Linked DNA regions of Schizosaccharomyces pombe. The gene in region 2 interacts genetically with the main gene of each other region. Each region holds a gene or a part of one and is shown on either strand. Other genes may lie near its edges. The genes, in order: ppa1, wis1, ptc4 and ptc1.

What was found.
Region 1: of wis1 (region 2) and ppa1, changing one suppresses a phenotype caused by changing the other (phenotypic suppression), as found in Schizosaccharomyces pombe (one study listed by BioGRID).
Region 3: of wis1 (region 2) and ptc4, changing one enhances a phenotype caused by changing the other (phenotypic enhancement), as found in Schizosaccharomyces pombe (one study listed by BioGRID).
Region 4: of wis1 (region 2) and ptc1, a mutation in one rescues a mutant of the other (synthetic rescue), as found in Schizosaccharomyces pombe (one study listed by BioGRID).

The regions. Positions count from the first base shown.
Region 1 is NC_003424.3:2,605,762-2,609,860, forward strand, and holds ppa1 (serine/threonine protein phosphatase PP2A catalytic subunit Ppa1), read left to right. Parts: upstream 1-2,034; 5' UTR 2,035-2,197; exon of another isoform or gene 2,198-2,255; intron 2,256-2,327; 5' UTR 2,328-2,341; coding exon 2,342-3,271; 3' UTR 3,272-3,599; downstream 3,600-4,099. Other genes in the region: ptf1 (phosphoric monoester hydrolase), read left to right, coding at 424-466, 518-556, 780-852, 894-1,428; phosphatidylinositol-3,5-bisphosphate binding protein Atg1802, read right to left, coding at 3,708-3,720, 3,761-4,099.
Region 2 is NC_003423.3:1,143,231-1,148,410, forward strand, and holds wis1 (MAP kinase kinase Wis1), read right to left. Parts: upstream 3,374-5,180; 5' UTR 2,555-3,373; coding exon 737-2,554; 3' UTR 501-736; downstream 1-500. Other genes in the region: ubiquitin hydrolase Uch2, read left to right, coding at 1-43. UniProt on the Schizosaccharomyces pombe protein: Dosage-dependent regulator of mitosis with serine/ threonine protein kinase activity. May play a role in the integration of nutritional sensing with the control over entry into mitosis. It may interact with cdc25, wee1 and win1. May activate sty1.
Region 3 is NC_003424.3:2,540,213-2,544,496, reverse strand, and holds ptc4 (mitochondrial serine/threonine protein phosphatase PP2C catalytic subunit Ptc4), read left to right. Parts: upstream 1-1,841; 5' UTR 1,842-2,058; coding exon 2,059-3,210; 3' UTR 3,211-3,752; downstream 3,753-4,284. Other genes in the region: SPOM_SPAC4A8.02C (uncharacterized protein), read left to right, coding at 3,772-3,804, 3,855-4,250. UniProt on the Schizosaccharomyces pombe protein: Has a role in the regulation of vacuole fusion.
Region 4 is NC_003421.2:2,002,519-2,007,014, forward strand, and holds ptc1 (serine/threonine protein phosphatase PP2C catalytic subunit Ptc1), read left to right. Parts: upstream 1-2,017; 5' UTR 2,018-2,160; coding exon 2,161-3,204; 3' UTR 3,205-3,874; downstream 3,875-4,496. Other genes in the region: GATA-type transcription factor Ams2, read left to right, coding at 1-964; SPOM_SPCC4F11.03C (uncharacterized protein), read right to left, coding at 4,214-4,496. UniProt on the Schizosaccharomyces pombe protein: Serine and threonine phosphatase. Has a specialized role in the heat shock response. May be responsible for the dephosphorylation of hsp90.

The DNA.
Region 1 (4,099 bases), on a different chromosome or scaffold from region 2:
TTTAAAAAGAAAAAACAAAAAAAAAAAAAATTACACTTCACTTTACAAGGCTTGGGCCACTTTTCTTAGGATTTATGGTAAAACGTACTGAGGATATCGTTTACCCCTTGCAGAAATATAGAATATCATTTCTTTTCTTTGATAAATATATGCTTTAAGTTAATTCAACCTCTACACTAATTTCGATTTTTAATCTGCAGCCCTTTAAAATAAAGAAGACTGTAAATTACTTTAAGAATTTCATTTTTTTGCATATAAAAGATAAAATATGACATTTATCATGACTCGAACAAACGACTGCTTGCTAATCACGGAATAAACAACAAACTTTATATCAGTGCTGGTAAGTTTCGTTACTTTAAATCCTAGAGTTGGATAGCTGTACAAAGCAAGCAATTTCAGCAATTCAAAAAGATTTGGACTATGGCTCAGAAAAAGCAGTTATACGTATTCAGTGACTTTGACGGTATGAAAAAATAATTTCAATAAAAACAGACAACTAACTTTTGGGGTCTAGGAACTATTACACTCCAGGATTCCAATGACTACTTAACTGGTAAGGTTGGGAATAGGAAGATTGTTACAGATATAAAAAGATGTATAAAGGTAGTTAGAAAATGTTCTTACAATTAAGCTTAACTGAATATTTATTGAAGATTTACGAAAATCTGTAAGAGAAATCTATGATTTTATAACATTGGGTCAAAAATTTCCCTGCCCACCTTGAATGCTTTATTACTGCAACACTCGACGGCGACGGTTTACTAACTATGTTTTAGACAACTTTGGAATGGGCAACGCCAACCGTGTGAATCTAAATCAACAAGTTCTTGACGGTTCCATTTCTTTTCGGTAAGCGTTTGACGCGTAAATCAACTCTTAACAATTCATAGTGATGCTTTCGCGAAGATGTTGGATTCAGTGCATTTAAGCTATGATGAAGCTTTGGAGGTTCTCAAGAAGAATGTCGCCATTGATCCATCATTTAAACCATTCTATGAATGGTGTAAGTCTCAAGACATTCGTGTAATCATCCTTTCAAGTGGTATGGAGCCTTTTATTCGTGCACTTTTTGAGCAATACCTTGGCAAAGAAGAAGCAAGTAGTATTGAAATTGTTTCTAATGACATCAATGTGCATCCTGATGGTCAATGGAACATTGTGTATCATGATGACAGTCATTTTGGACACGACAAAAGCCTTACTATCCGTCCGTATGCTCAATTGCCAGAAAGTAAACGTCCTCACATGGTCTATTGCGGAGATGGTGTTTCCGATTTGAGTGCTGCGAAGGAAACAGAACACTTGTTTGCCAAGAAAGGACGTGATTTAATTAAATATTGTGAAAGGGAGAAAATTTCTTTCTCTGAATTCGAAACCTTTGCTGATATCCATAAAGATTTGCAAAAATTATTCTTTAGCAGTTAAATCTGAATAATACCTAAGAAGTTTTCGTACTTCAACATTTTTATACCTAAAGTTGATAGATATTTGTTATCAGCGCCTCGAAACTTAGTTTCAAGCAGGTCCTCATAGCAATTTAAATGCATCATTCACCAACGGTTCGATTAGTTTGGGTTGTTAGAAGCAATGATTTAACATAATTTGTATTTATATACTCATCCATTTGCGAGTCTTGTATGAAAAATCCTATATCATATCAGTCCGTAAGTGGTCGCATTGCTACAATATCTCTTTATTTTTTTTAAGAAAGAAAATAAAGAGATATTAAATTTTGCGTCTTTTGGTCGTGAGATCGCCGAAATAAGGTAGCGAGTATAACATAATGTAGATCACGCATATTGTTATATTTTGGTTTGGTAAAGTTACTCAAAGTCAGGAAACTTGTAATGATGTTTTAAGGGGCTTGCAGAAAAAATTGCTATTACGAAATCCATGTCTGTAATATTTTGGTTATTAATAAATTGAAATAAAATTTAAAACATGAAATATTGTGACTTTATGTATCCTGTCTACTACCATACCTTTCAACCTTCATACAAATTTTCCCGTACTCGCATCATTTTCTTTCTTCACCTAACTCCCCACCGTGTCTGTAAAACATAATATTTCTCTTTCCCACATACGAACGAATAAATAATAAAATACAGTATATGTACAGTAAACGTACCTCAGACACCATTATTTTGTCAAGAAAGTGAATAAGCTTACAATACCCCCGTCATCCAGTGAATTCGTAAGTGGGAAGTTGAAAAACGCATGCTCAACGCAGGATAGCATACAAACGGAAAAGCCCTTATGGATTTTTCTGTGGATGCTTTTCTTTTTAATTAAAAATTTAGTCGTTTATTAACTATTGCTTTAAGTTTTTTTCAACAAGATGTCTGTCTCTGGAAAAATTGGAGAGGTCGATCGTTGGATTGAACAGTTGAGTCGATGCGAACCTCTTTCAGAGGAAGATGTCATTCAAATGTGTGATCTCGCAAAAGAGGTACTTTCTGTAGAATCAAACGTTCAAAGCGTCCGATGCCCTGTAACGGTTTGTGGTGATATTCATGGACAATTCCATGACTTAATGGAGTTGTTCAATATTGGCGGCCCTTCACCTGATACAAATTATTTGTTTATGGGAGATTATGTTGACAGAGGATATCACAGTGTAGAAACAGTTTCTCTACTGATTGCTTTTAAAATTCGATATCCCCAGCGTATAACAATATTACGTGGAAACCATGAATCTAGGCAAATTACACAAGTTTATGGATTTTATGATGAATGCCTTAGAAAGTATGGAAATGCGAATGTTTGGCAGTACTTTACAGATCTTTTTGACTATTTGCCTCTCACCGCCCTAATTGAAGATCGAATTTTTTGCCTTCACGGAGGTCTTTCTCCTAGTATTGATACACTTGACCATGTTCGTATATTAGATCGTGTGCAAGAGGTTCCTCATGAAGGTCCGATATGCGACTTGTTATGGTCAGATCCTGATGACCGACCTGGTTGGGGTATTTCTCCTCGAGGTGCTGGGTATACGTTTGGCCCGGATATTGCTGAAGCATTTAACCATAATAACGGTTTAGATTTAATAGCAAGAGCTCATCAGCTAGTTATGGAAGGTTATAATTGGACTACAAACCATAATGTTGTTACTATTTTTTCTGCTCCCAATTATTGTTATCGATGTGGAAACCAAGCAGCCATTATGGGAATTGATGACCACATAAATTACGCATTTATCCAATATGATACTGCTCCCCGAAAGGAGGAATTACATGTCACCAGAAGAACACCCGATTACTTCTTATAAGTCATCGTATGTTTTACTTTCTTCTTGGACTTGTTAATAGCTGGAATTTTTCATGGTTGGATTTTAGCGTTGTCAACGTGCCGCTAAAAATTTACTTTAATTTTATGGGTTTCTAATAGAATGTTGTTATCTTCGAATTTTTAATTCTCCTGTTTCGGTACAAATATTGAATTTATGGAATGCATATAAAATTTATATAGGATATATGATGCACTTGTAAGGTGTCTACCGTAATGATAATTTTTCACATCTGTACCGGTGTATAATATATTAGTGAAACACCAACTTATCGACATTAACATTTTAATAAATTATCTACAAAGGTCTAAACATAAATGATAGCATGTTCAGTAAATAAAAAAAAAACATAAGACCATGAAAGCTAAAACATTGTGAAGCTGATGTATGAGTAAATTTAAAACTTGTGCGCAAAAAGTTAATCGTCAAAGCTAGATATGTTAATAATCGAAAATTTAACAAACAGCTTACATGTAACGCTCAAGTAAAGCACAATTTCCTCCATTTTTAAGATTTACTGCGAACCGATAATAGTGTCCTGAATAAGAAGCTACTTGTATGTGCGGACCGCTGCTCGAAAAAATTATTTTTCCATAGAAAGAAGCTTCAGGAATCTTAGCAGTTGCAAATTCTTTCCTAGTGTCCCAAACTTTTGCTACATTTGAAGTTAAATATTTTGACCAAGAAGATGACACAGTTACGGAAGATGTAGGAGACGAATTCGGATCCGATGGTTGCTTAGAGATTTTGAAAACGTGAATAGTACCATTTTCAGAAGCACAAGCCAGAAAAGGCTCAACTGGGTGAAAT
Region 2 (5,180 bases):
TGAAACTGCAAAAGCGAAATACGCATCTCAAAAGCGACCGTAATATATTACGGCGTTCTTTCTCAAAAAATATTCCACTATGAAGGAATTTTCATTTCCAGGATAAAAATCTGTTATGACTCTAGATTACCTTGTTGGACTTATGTTGGGAGAATTTGTTTCTTTGATATATAAAAGTCTCGTACTTTTTAAATAAATGAATACCTCAAATCTCTTTGAGTAATATATTAATAGTTTAAGTAATTATTATTAGGTCGATATAATATCTATTAACACTTGCATTTACGATGGATTCAATCTCTCTAAGTAATCACCATTGTAGGAAACAGGAGATCATAGTAGCTAAAACGACGGAGCCAGTCAACGAAGTTTTAAAAGAAATAAATTAATACAGTACAAGTAACTTTTACAATTGCAAACTTTCGTTTGCACTTCTAAAGCCCCTTAGTTAAATAAAAAAAAAGTTTTTTATGGTGGACGTAAATGCCTTAAACAAATGTAATAACACATTAAATACCCGTTTTAATTTAAAGCAAAAATGCAAACATCAACTACCGTTATACGGAATCATACCCAAATTATTAAATTTATGAAAAAGCACAAATGCAAAATAGCGTCGGTTCTGCTGAAACATAATTATGGATCACGTAATAGTCATGCATTCGAAATTAAAGACAAACACCAATGCGCATGGGTACTTTAAAACAGAGCAGGCAATTAGAAAGCAGGCGAACCTTTAGCTTCTTTTTTCACCTTTCTCTTTAAGAGCGCCTTTTGCCCATGAAGCCATGTCCACATCTGCATTTTGATATTTTAACAACCATGGATGGTTAGCCAACTCATGATAATCGGGACGCAAAGACGGGTTTTTATTCAAACACTTGTTTACAAAATCACGAGCTTCGGGAGAAAATGAATCGGGGAGAGAAGGTGGATCGCCATCGCAAATCGCCGATAGTTGTGCAAATATTGAAGTATATGATTCAGGTGGATACGGATAAGCTCCTAAAGCCATTTCTAAAATGGTAAGGCCTAGAGACCACACATCAGCCTGTACGGTGTAAGTCAAGACGCCATTGGTAGGTCCACCAACACGAATTCTTTCAGGAGCCATGTAAGATTGACATCCAATGTTCGTTTTGGATATAGAAGCCACAAGATTCCCACTCACGCCAAAGTCACATAACTTAACCTGGCCATTAGAATTTACCAAAACATTAGTAGGTTTAACGTCACGATGAATGATATTATGCTCCTCTTTCAAAGTTTTGAGGCCTTGCACTACAGCATAAGCAGTTCTAGCTAAAACTCCTTCGTCTTTGATACCACCAGCATACAGTTTGTCCATGCTACCAGCATCCATATATTCCATACAAATAAAAACAGAACCTTCCACAAAAAAGGCACCATAAAAGTCAACGATATAAGGACTAACTGCTTTATGTAAAATATCCAATTCCATTATAATTTGATTAAATGTTGCTTCTTCTAAGGACAACCTAATTTCCTTCAAGGCCATAGTGACACCAGTCGGTTGATGCAATGCTTTATACACAACACCATAGTTACCTTTTCCAAGTTCTTCAAGCTTAATAATCTCTGACATATTAATACGAAACGAAGAGCCAGATGAAAAGTTAACACCTTCTGAATTTAACACGGCTTTGTTTTTAAAATTTAAGGTGCCTGATTTTGCATCCAAAATATCCGAAAATGTGGAAAAAGGGGTTTCCGAAACAGCCTGTTTAAGGGTGGGAGGAATGTTTAGGCCACGGCGAGAAGCCATGCTAGACGGACTGACAGGGCTGGTGGGATTGGAATTGGATAAATCGAGTTTTCCAGGTGGTGCACGACGGATTCTCGTTTGTCGATTGAAGGACGTTGGACGGTTGAGTAAAGGATTCCTAGCAGCAGCAAGTGATTTTGCAAGCCCGGACTCTGGCATATTCGGAGACTTTACGGGCGAATTACTTAATCGACCAGCAAGTTGAGAGTTAGGCAAAGGATAACTTCCTCGTTGACCCATACCGACAATAGGGGTAGTTGGACTACTGATCTTGTTGACTACTTCCGGCATTGATTTTGATCTAGATGCATGGAAGGCCTTCAATTTCTCCTGTATATCAGTTGAAAGTCCTCCAGGAAATGGGCCCGGTGGAGTAGGAGGAGATCCAATATTGTTCTGACCAGCTGCTGTAGGAAGTGAACGTCTAGGTTTTTCCGAAGGATCCTTCATGTCAAGGTTAAGAGAGTTACGACTCCGACTGGACGTAGATCTGCCAAGTCTGACCGTAGGCACGGCACGGGGAAGAGGGGGATCGGAAGGTATTTCACGACTAGGAGAAGAAACCTTTGAGTCATTGTCACTGCCACTACTGTTAGAATTTAAAGACAAGGAACCCAAGGAAGAACCAGAAGAATCGGTGTTTGAAGAACTTGAAGACGAAAGAGAAAGGAGCGAGCCGGGAGTACCAACATCACCGGGAGGTGCGGTAGGAGAAATAGACAGCTGTCTCAATGAGCAAGACAAGGGTTGATTATTTGGAGAAGACATATAAAATAAATGTGCTTCACAAACTTAAAAAAAAAGAAAAAAAAATTAGGTAAACTAAATTCCGGTAATATAAATGAAGCAAAAGTGAAGATGAACGAAAGTGAGATGGCAATACAAAAAAGGTATCTTGGGTGAAAAGAACAATTAAAATTAGACAATCAATTACGAGTCGTCTCCGACGAAGAAGGAAAAAAAAAGCGGTGGTCTAAAAAGTCCGCAGGAAGGATATTCCAAGAAAAAAAAAGGAAGTTTAAAGGCAATCACCTACGAGTAGCTTTGTGTAGGTAAATGCCACGGAAAAAAAGGAGGTTTGGAAGGGTTTAAATTTAACAGCAAAAGCCAGAAACTGGAAGAAACAGGGGCTTAGATAATAAATTTCCCAAGGAGAACTAAAGAAAAAAAAGTAAAAAGGTGTGGGTTAATCTTAGTCCGAGAAGTCAATACTTTAAAACCGAGTTATGACCGACGAGTAAGGAGGCAAAGGTAAGGAGAAAAAGTAATAATTCACAAACACGAAATAAAAAGGAAAGAAATTTGAAATTATCTTTCTAAAAGATAACACGTAAGGGTGTGGAAGGAAGAGAAAAAATTCAGAAACGCTTTTCTCTTACAGTAAAGAGCAAAAAAAATTCTGCTCTTTAAAGGAAATGGGAAAATTTAGGGAGGGTGATAAAATAGGAAGTGTAGTCGGTACGATGTAAATAAGATATACACGTCGAAAGGGAATGCTTGAGAGATTAGGAATCCCAGCTATCGCCAGCCGGCTGGGGTATGTTTGGGTATACAAGAAGGTGGAATGGGATGGAGTTGGTGAAGGATAAAAGGATAACGAAAGTCAGACAACACGTTGCTTAATCTTAAGGAGAAACTTTTGCACGTTAGCTTACGTATCAGTATATAAGGATAACGTGGATAAAAAAATGTTTCATCAAAACAAGGGATGGTTAAGGGATACAATCAAATTTGTAAAATCAAAATAACGTGAAGCCAAATAATATGCTGCAGATCTCCGTATAAGCGTAACGACCTGTATGAATCATTCGACAAGATTTCTAACAAGGTATCCTGAGATTTATATGCAAATGGAAAGAATGTACGGCAGAAATAGCTGGTAAGAAATACCTCGATGGATTAATGGGAAAGCACAGGATGATTGGGTAAAATGCTCAACGTATAGAGAATAATACATAGAAGTAAAGAAAAACAGAAAAAAAAAGGGCCGAAAAATATTTTAATGGAAGATAAACACAACGATTTATCGGTCTTGACAGAAGGAATTGAATTGTCCGATAGATATGGTAGTGTTTGATTAGAAAAGAATAAAGAATAAATAAATAAAAACAAAAATAATTAATGATTAGGTGCATAGGGCTTTAAGTTTCAAAGCTGGTATTCGAATGTCAATGTATACTAAGAAAAATCATGATCCAAGGTAAAATGTATAACCAAATAAATAAGAGAAATATAACTAACCTAGTAGCTTCCGTCCTTGAGAGCGATAAAAAAAAGCGAGTTAACGCACAAGTGTTTCGAAAAGGTGTAGTAATGTATAATAAAACATTTTTTAATAATCGTTAAAAGGTTCAGCAAGTGGAATGAAGAGAGTGTGTTATTTGTGCTCTAGAAGCAGCGTAAAAAAAAATTTATTTATTTTTAAATTTTTTTTTTTTTTCTAATTTTTTTAAATTTCTTTTGTTTAAGGAAACACACAAAAATAATGTAAGAGTAGCAGCAAAACTGCTAGGAACATTTTGTTCTATGGAAAAAGACACTGAAGTGAAAAGTGCAACGAAGGGGTAGAACTTTCGTAGGAAGGAAAAACAAGCAAAGAGAAAAAAATTTACAAAAGTTCCTAGATCACTCCATCTATATGCAAATGCATAATGTACGGTGTATGCTCGAACAAAGTAGAAAGGGGGCTATAAAAACGATTTGAGGATAATCCTTTATTAATGAGAAAAAATTTGGAACGTCTAGTTTTGCGCCAACATCAAGGGAAGACAAAAAAAATTTTCATTAAAACAGACTCAATAATGTTCAATTGAGATAGAAGAATACAGAAAGAGTCGAATGATTGAACATGTGGTGAAAAAGGCTGAAGATGAAACTAGATAGAAAGAGGCTGTATTCCCAACATCCAAAAATGAGGAAAAACTAAAGAAGAGAAGGAAAGTGGAATAAAATGAAGAAATTAAAAGAGAAAATCATACGATGAAACTGAGAAGAAGAAGAAGGCATTTTATTTTAATTTTATTAATTTTATTAGATTTCATTTCGTTTGACGCTTTACGGTTTCATGAAATGCCAAATTGCTAATTCTTTATTAGATTTTGGAGTATTTTCATTGTTAGTCTGCGAGTATTTTCATTATTAGTTTGTATTTAAAAAGTTTCATCGTATGTTTCTATAGATGCGTTTTTTTTTACATTATTTGAATTGAATGAAGAATTGATTTGCTATAAGAGAAATTTTTGACTTGGTATGGTTGCTGGCTGGCACCCACGGCTGCGTATGCCACATACCATACAATAGTAGACTAAGACGACTGTACATACGAATGGTAGTTGTTTTTTGGGGAAAGGAAAAAGGAATTCTTTGATAGTTAGAATGAATAAAAGGGTAGCGC
Region 3 (4,284 bases), on a different chromosome or scaffold from region 2:
AGCGATACGAGGTGGTTAGTGGAGGAACGGTGATCCATTGCCTGTGATTGGTCGATAAGCTCAAACAAGTGGTTCTTAGATAAACTTTGAAAGGCCGGATTGGTAAGGGCCACTCAACTGCCACTCTGTTCGGTACATTGAATGATAACGCTTCATGCGCATTGCGCTGCTTAGGGCAGAAAAAAGAGCAATTCAAAGATATGGAGGAACGGAAGCCGATTCACTGATAACTTGGTAATCCACGGATACACACATTGATCGGGACATACATAAAAAAAGAGGTTTGCAAAATTTCCAAATGTATGGAAGCAACAGCATATCCATATTCAACAATATGCACTCAATGTCATTTCATTTTCAGAAAGGTTTATTCTTTCCTTTCATGACTAGTATTCATTCTACACAAACAGTAAACTGAAACGAAAACAAATAAATTATAAAACACTAGCACAATTGAATGAACATGACTCTCGGTGTTCAGCTAACGCCCACTCATGTAAACAAGTGCTTGATGAAAAACATCCATCCATCCATCCATCCCCTGATAAGTGTTTGCTACATTACAACAGCCATTCTATCTTTATCAACAAATTGGTTGGAGACATTTATTTTAGAGGAGAGAAGATTGAGAGATTGTGTGTGCGTAAACAGTTAATTACCGATGCATCGTATTTCGGTTATTGTATATAAGAAAGAGTTGCTAGATGAAGCAATGAGGGACTTTAAAATTCCCCATTTTCACTATAAAATCCATTTCTTCTTTTCTATGAAACTTTACTTATTTGTATATTCTTATATAAATTGTTAAAGAAACAGCCTGTGGAGTGAGATCGAGCGAGTATTCGTAGCAATCGCTGGCTCTTTCCTATGTAACTTTTCTTCTATGCAGCCATGAAATTTAATGCAGTACAAGGGATTTAATCAAAGAGTTTTAATGATGAACAGAATGCGTGGATGGCATTTGCATTTCTTTGTATACGAACAAACAACATGTGACAACATTGACAATGTTTGAGATTCCCACAGTAAGAGAGATTGGGCGCTGTGTTGAAGCTCTTTCATCAATGCGCTCTCATTCCAGGTGTCGTTTGGACTAGACCATCACTAATAGTTCAACAAGTTGAAACAATTAGCAAACAATACAGAGAACAATGGCGTTATATTGGAACAAATGAATGACGGTTCTGTATTTTGGTGGCGCCGTACACCCAGCAATTTTGAATTTGGGAGCTTTTGTATATATTTCGTTATAAGTACTTGGTACTTTGGAAACGAAACAATCTCTAATCGCTAAATATCTTGCCATCATCGGAGCTGTTGCACTTATCACTTTATTCAAGCAGCGCTTATTAGGAATAAACTAAAGAGTAACATAGTCAGATTTCTCTGATGGTTGGATTGAATTGAATTGAATTGTCGTCGATAAGCTATATACTCCATCTGTTTTGCTCTAACAAAGCAATATAATCTAGAGTGCTAATGTGCTATAGTGAAAAAATAAGATAGAAAAGTAAAAAACATATTTGGATAGGAAAAATGAAAGTGGTTGGTAGAATCCACCCCCTCAAACCAACCAAAAAAAATTGAAATATTAACGAAAATGAAATAAAGACATGCTCATCAAACGAACTATCCCTACAATGCTCACAGCCTTCCTTTCATTACATATCTTCCTTAACTTCTTTTATCGTGCTTTAACGCATTTGTTTGCATAGTATTACAGGGTTCGTTTTAACACACTATATGCTTTACACCGCTTGTATAGAATCGTGTAAGACTTTCTCCTTGTTGGTGTATGCTGAACTCTTTTTAAAATCCCCTGTTATTTGGTATTTCGAGTTAGCCTTAAACTGGAAATTTACCTCGGCTTTCAAGCAAAGCGTCTGGAAGCTTCAATATCTGTAGGAAAGAAAACTTTCTTTCCTCTAATCCTTTGATCATTAATCTTTTTTTAGCAAAATTTACTAGAAATTACCGGTTTCTTGCACGGTTTGTTTTGCACGCCGCGAAGTTACCATCTCAAGCGATTCACGTTTGAGAATCCTTCTCCATTAATACATGTCGATCCGTTTTCTTAAACGTTTACGGGCACCTCTATATATTCAAAATGCCTATTGCTCAAAAAACTATTTCTATCGATCCTTTATTCAGTATTATAGTCCCTCCAATGGTCCCTACCTGAAGATAAGTATGAACAAAGCACCTCAGAGTCTTGGATTATGTACCGCTAGAGGAGATTCGCCGACAAATCAAGACCGTATGGCTTACGGCTACTTAAATAACCTAAAAGATACTACTAACAGAGATAGTCCTTTTTTCTACGGGCTTTTCGACGGTCACGGAGGTACTGAGTGTAGTGAGTTTCTTTCCACCAACTTGGGGAAGATTATTGAAAATCAAGATTTAAATGATACAGAGAAAATCCTGAAGGAAGTCCATTCCGTGGGTGGATACATGGCGGGTCTAAAGCCTCCATTTTCTTTGCGCACTGTTCTTCAATCTAGGGACGAAGATCTGCTTTGGAGGGCGAGGCTATATTATTCATTTTTACAAGCGGACATGGATTATTTAACTAACTATGCCCGGCCATCGCCTGACAGTGCTGTACCCGGCGCAGTCGGTACCGTGGCTATAATAACTTCAAAAAATAATCTCTCATATTGGGAAAGCGATAGTTACATTATTCACCTTGCTCATGTCGGCGATACAAGAGCTTTATTGTGTGATTCTCGGACTGGAAGGGCCCATCGTTTAACATTCCAACATCATCCAGCTGATGTCGAGGAAGCACGTCGGCTACGACGTTACAACATGGGTTTTTCAAGAGACTCATTTGGACAGAAAAGATTCGCTTGGGTCGCTAACACCCGTAGTTTTGGAGACGGATATAAACTCAAAAAATTAGGTGTTGTTGCCGAACCTCAATTGACTTCTATTCATTCACTAAGAGATGACTGGTCGTTTTTAACTCTTCTTTCGGACGGTATTACAGATGTCGTATCGGATGATGAAGTTGTCGATATAATAAAACTGTCTGAGTCCCCTCAAGATGCTGCGAATAATATCATTCGTTACGCTCAAAACGTTGGTGCTGTGGACGATATCACCTGTCTTGTTGTTCGTCTTCCAGGGTGGAAAAAACGCACTATTAATGACTTTACAAAGAATTTACGTTTGGAAAAGTCTGCTTATCATCCCAGAAGAAGTTGAACATCAAGTCTTCATAAAAACTAAGCCTTCAATTTAAGAATTTCTCTTTCTTTAATCCGTTTAGATAATGCTTAATATTGTTTATGTCATACGTTTTTGGCATGTTTCAATGTTCTCATTTTTGTTCTCATTTTGTCCCCATTTTAATGCATTTATAATCGATTAAACCTATAATATGTTGATTCAAGTATTTAATTACTTTTGCGGTTTCTTAAGTACGCTTTTAAGAATGACATATCCGTATATTTGTTTTATATTCAGAAAACTTTTGGGCGTTCAGAAGCTATTTCTGAATATTATATGGTTATTTTATTTTCTCCTCAATTTAGATTGTTTAACATTTTGGAATCATTAGTGCTTGACACTCTTCGTCTATCTTTGGTTAACCTATTATTCGAACACATTAGTATATGTTATATTTCTGCACTCTTAATGAATTCATATAGTGTATCAAGCCTATTCACACTATCCTCTAAATAGCATGTTACCTAGTAGAGTTGAGTATTTTACAACTTTGTGCTAAAGTATTACATCTATCCTCTTCAATAATCGTTCTGAAACATGGATGTTATTCAACGCATTATAACTTTAGATGTAACTTTTTTTTTAAGATTATTCTTCTGAACTAACTCAATTGAATTTAGAGAAGATCCAAAGGGTTTTACATAATTACAAACGATTTGGTCAAAAAGCTTCCAGAATTAAAAAGCTTTTCTTCTGGTACAGTAAATTTTTTTATACAGCATACCTCTGCTGCTCTTACTATCAATGAGAATTGGGACGCAGATACGCGAGCTGACATGAACGATATATTGGATAAAATTGTCCCTGAATCAGCAGGCTACCGTCATACTGCAGAAGGATTAGACGATATGCCTGCTCATGTTAAATCTAGCTTAATTGGACCTAGTTTAACTGTTCCCATTACTAATGGGAAGTTGAGCTTGGGTACTTGGCAAGACATTCAGTTAGCTGAGTTTCGTCGCCAACCTCATTCTCGTACAATTGTTTGTACTATTATAGGTTTACGAAGCAATTGAAGTACCTTTAAGTTTTTATTAGTATGTGCTTGGG
Region 4 (4,496 bases), on a different chromosome or scaffold from region 2:
ATGTGGTATATATTGGACGAGTCGGCGCTCGATGCGTCCAAGAAATTTATGGTCTACCTATAAAGCATTTGAAACAGAGAAACCGTTGGAAAATGATGCATTTGCTCAGCTTGAGTTAGCCGTATATAAACTTTCCCAGCAACGAAAACTATCTATATCCATCTTCCGTGAGCTTGAAAATGCAGGACGGCACTCTCCTCTGAATAGACTTACGTCTTTAGACTCAACACACTCTGCACCTGATCCCAATCATATCTCAAAACCCTCTGTTGTTAATCAGCAGAAATCCAGAGGAGGTCCCCGTACTGCTAAGCTGAAAAATGACCTCAGACGCATACAATCATCTCCCATTGTTGCACCTACTCCTGATACATCATTTCGTGAGCCTTTATCCGAAATTGGGTCTAATGATAGTTGGCTGGTATTACCAAATTCACTAAGTGCCAATATACAAAATGATGTTTTAAGAAAAACTGATTTCATGTGTACTGACAAGGAAAACGTCGCTTTTCCTTTGAAAACCACAACAAAGCCTATGCCTAAAGTAAATAAAGAAGAGACAGAGCCAACTCTGCCTGTTTGCGATTCAGAAAAAGAAAATGATGATTTAGAGTGCTATTTCAGAACCCCTCCAAAACCAACTACCTTACAAAAGCAACAACAAAGTCCATCACCCTGGAGGTCAGAGTTATTTTTGTCTGACCCTGACCAAAACGTATTGACACCAAGGCATAAGCCAAAGTTTGATTTATCAAAGGCATTGTCTTCGGTTGCAAAATCCAATAACATTGAGAATTCACCTCAATTACCAGAAAGATATGATTTTTCTTTAGAATTGGGGTTGAATTCTCAACTCGATAATGAAGAAAGACGCGATATTCCTCTGATGACAGATTTGGTGATGCCAAGTAGTCCGCCCATGGTCCCTGCTGACAGGCATTTATCCGTTGAAAACACTTGTTGAAAGAGCGATAAAGGCGTACCTTTGCTTCACACATTACCCTTGTTCTTTAATTTTTTGTTTTATCAAGAAGTCATGTGTGATCAAAATTGACATCTTTCATTATTCGAGTCTTCTTGCTTTTTTATGATTTTTATTTTGATAATGACATCCTTAATTCGTTTTCTTAACCGCAAAAAAATGATTGTTGCTGTTAAAGTCCTTACTGCGTAAGAACTCCCAAGGCATGTCCCCTCAAATCCGTCCTTCGTTCTTTTTATTTCTAAAGCAATTTATTTTATTTTCTTTCATACCATGAGCCGTTATTACCTCCCCCTTGATTATTAAAATATTTCAAGTCGTTGCTTATTGTTGGCGGCATAGCCAAGAGCATGCGACAAGCATTCTATAAATCTTGTCGCAAAATAGAAGTTGGACACTATTTCTTTTAATCTTCTCAAATGTTCTTCGACTTCATCTTTGAGGCTCGGTTTATGGAAATTTTGGATACTTCGTGATAGTTCTGTCTGTTTTGCTTATACAAACAAATTATAATTTCATTAATTGTATTATGAAAGCCGATATGGACAAAGCCACATCCTTATTTTACATACGGAAAAAGTTACTTTTAATTATTTATATGAACACTGTTATTCTTGTTAGCATGTTTATGTTGCGAAACGTTTCTAATTGATTATTATGGGTAGACCGGATAATTGATATTTAGCAAATTCACTAGACGAACACATGACAAATTTTTTTCAGTAATGCGAACCAAAGTCACGCGAAAGCAAGTGTAAAAGTCGAAGGATTTCAATACATGGTTCAATATTTTTGTCTAGAATAAATCAAACGTTTAGTTCATATATTCAAAACAACAGCTTATTGCTGCTTACTATTTCTAATTTTCTAATAGCCTTTTGTTAGCATTTTTGTATTATAATGTAGTTCAATGCAGAGCGGATAACGGTTTAGTGGAAGTTAACCTAGTACGTAAAAATGATTTCCGAAGATCTCGGTATACCACGCGTGACGTAAATGCCCGAGTTTATTAGCACTGACTGACTTAACAAGTTTATACTTACGCAGAAACCCAAGGAAAATCGGTGTTTCTCGTATATACTATACAATCAGCAATTTTATACCTGATATTATAATTGAAGGTATTTAGTTAATTTGAAAAGCAATTTTTTTGTCGGTACTGAAGTGTTTGAACGAATATGAAGGGAAGCCATCCAAATGCAGGTTCCCTGTTGGAACCACTTCACAAGTTGAACCCATTTTCTGAAAATTCTACAAGTGGACATCGAAAAAACGCTAGTGATCATTCGGCGGATGGAGAAACTCGACCGATTGCAATTGAGATGAAGGATAGTAAAGGCAACACAGTCCCAGTTGGTAACTCGCGCCCTAGTAAAGCCTCTAACTGGCTTGCTGGACTGATGGAGGATAAAAACCAAAGATGGCGTAGGTCTATGGAGGATACTCATATTTGCTTGTATGATTTTGGGGGTAATCAGGACGACGGCTTCGTTGCCGTTTATGACGGACATGCTGGCATTCAAGCATCTGACTACTGTCAGAAGAATCTTCACAAGGTACTTTTGGAAAAGGTTAGGAATGAGCCGGACCGGCTGGTCACAGACCTAATGGACGAAACATTTGTCGAGGTCAACAGCAAAATTGCAAAGGCTACTCACAATGACATTTGCGGTTGTACCGCTGCAGTTGCTTTCTTTAGATATGAGAAAAACCGCACCCGCCGTGTTCTCTACACAGCTAATGCAGGTGATGCACGTATCGTATTATGCCGTGATGGTAAGGCTATTCGACTTTCTTACGATCACAAGGGATCCGATGCCAATGAGTCTCGTCGTGTGACCCAGTTGGGTGGTCTCATGGTACAAAACCGAATTAATGGCGTTCTTGCTGTCACAAGGGCCTTAGGTGATACCTATCTTAAGGAATTGGTCAGTGCGCATCCCTTCACCACTGAAACCCGAATCTGGAACGGTCATGATGAGTTCTTCATTATCGCTTGTGATGGCTTGTGGGATGTAGTATCGGATCAGGAAGCTGTCGACTTTGTTCGCAATTTCGTAAGCCCTCGCGAAGCCGCTGTTCGCCTGGTAGAATTTGCATTAAAACGTCTTAGTACAGACAATATCACTTGTATTGTAGTTAACTTGACTCGCAATCCCGGTGATCTCGATGATTCAGGACTTACCGCTGATAATGATTCATACAGTAATGACTATTATTAGGTATTTGATGGATTCAATGATGTGCTTTCTGTTGTTTCGTAACGGTTTTTCGATGTCTTTACCTCATCCACAGTACTTGTTTGGAAGCCGGAATGACTTAATCCTATTTTTTTGTTTACCAAGCACTGTAATTGCATCGATTCTTTTCCTTTATTTATGGACCTTGTATTCTCATTTGGACATGGTTTTCCTTTGGGTCGACTTATTTTTTCTAATTAATTACTCTTCTTTTTATAAACCACTTTGTGCATGTTTCTCTTGTTCTTCTTTTTTGTCTAAAAGTAATGTGTCTAAATATCGATCCTAAATCTGTCCAAATCTAGTTTCTTTTTTCTTTTTTCATGATTTGCTACCTTTTCCTCCAATCTGCGTGCCACTGTTCGAATCAATCGTATATTCATCATTAGCCCTCTTCATACCCATTTAAAGGTACAAACATTTCACTCTTTTTAAGGTTCTTCGTGAGTGTTTTCGGTATTTTTATTTACAATTGCTTCGCAAATATTATGAATGTACTTGCGTGCATGCATTGGTGTTTATAACAAAGGCTATACGTTCACCAAAAAAAATTTATTTTACCCTTTTATCGTCTTTAATTTTCGATTTAAAAGTCGAATTATAATTATTATTCTGAAGTTACGGGTTGTCTTTATTTTGTCCCGTTCCTGCTAAAATACCATTTGCACGTAAAAATATATATACATACACTAATTGTACCAAGTATTCGAGATTTTAGCATTGGCCTAAACATAGGAAAAAGACAACGCTTTTCTACTTACTGTCTCAACTCTAGTTTTCATACATAAAGGTGCAGAGCAATACAATCAAATGATACTCACCGGATAAAGACATGCAATTGTTTTTTATAATTACCGTTTATAGGTTTTTTGTTGAATGATCTGGAAATGAATGACTATAGTAATAGATAATAATACATGAAAAAAACATTGACAAATTGAAACAACCACGTTAAACCGATCATACATAGCTGAACTGAAGTCAACTCAACTCATTTTGTCATGGTGAAGTCAAAGTTCTCACCAAACAAGTCATTTATGCTTTCAGTGGTTGGAATGTCTGTAGGAAGATTTAGAGCGTTGTCAAACGTATTAGTTAAATGCGAAGCAAAGCTGCCATCATTACCGAACGCAGCACTGTAGTTTTCTTGTGCTTGCAAGTCAATTCCCATTTGCTGGTTAGGAAACAAAGAAGCCGATCCTGCAGTACTTTTATTTTCAGAAGATGGGGAGCCAAACAAATCCAAATTACGGGAAAGAGCTGAATTGGAAGTA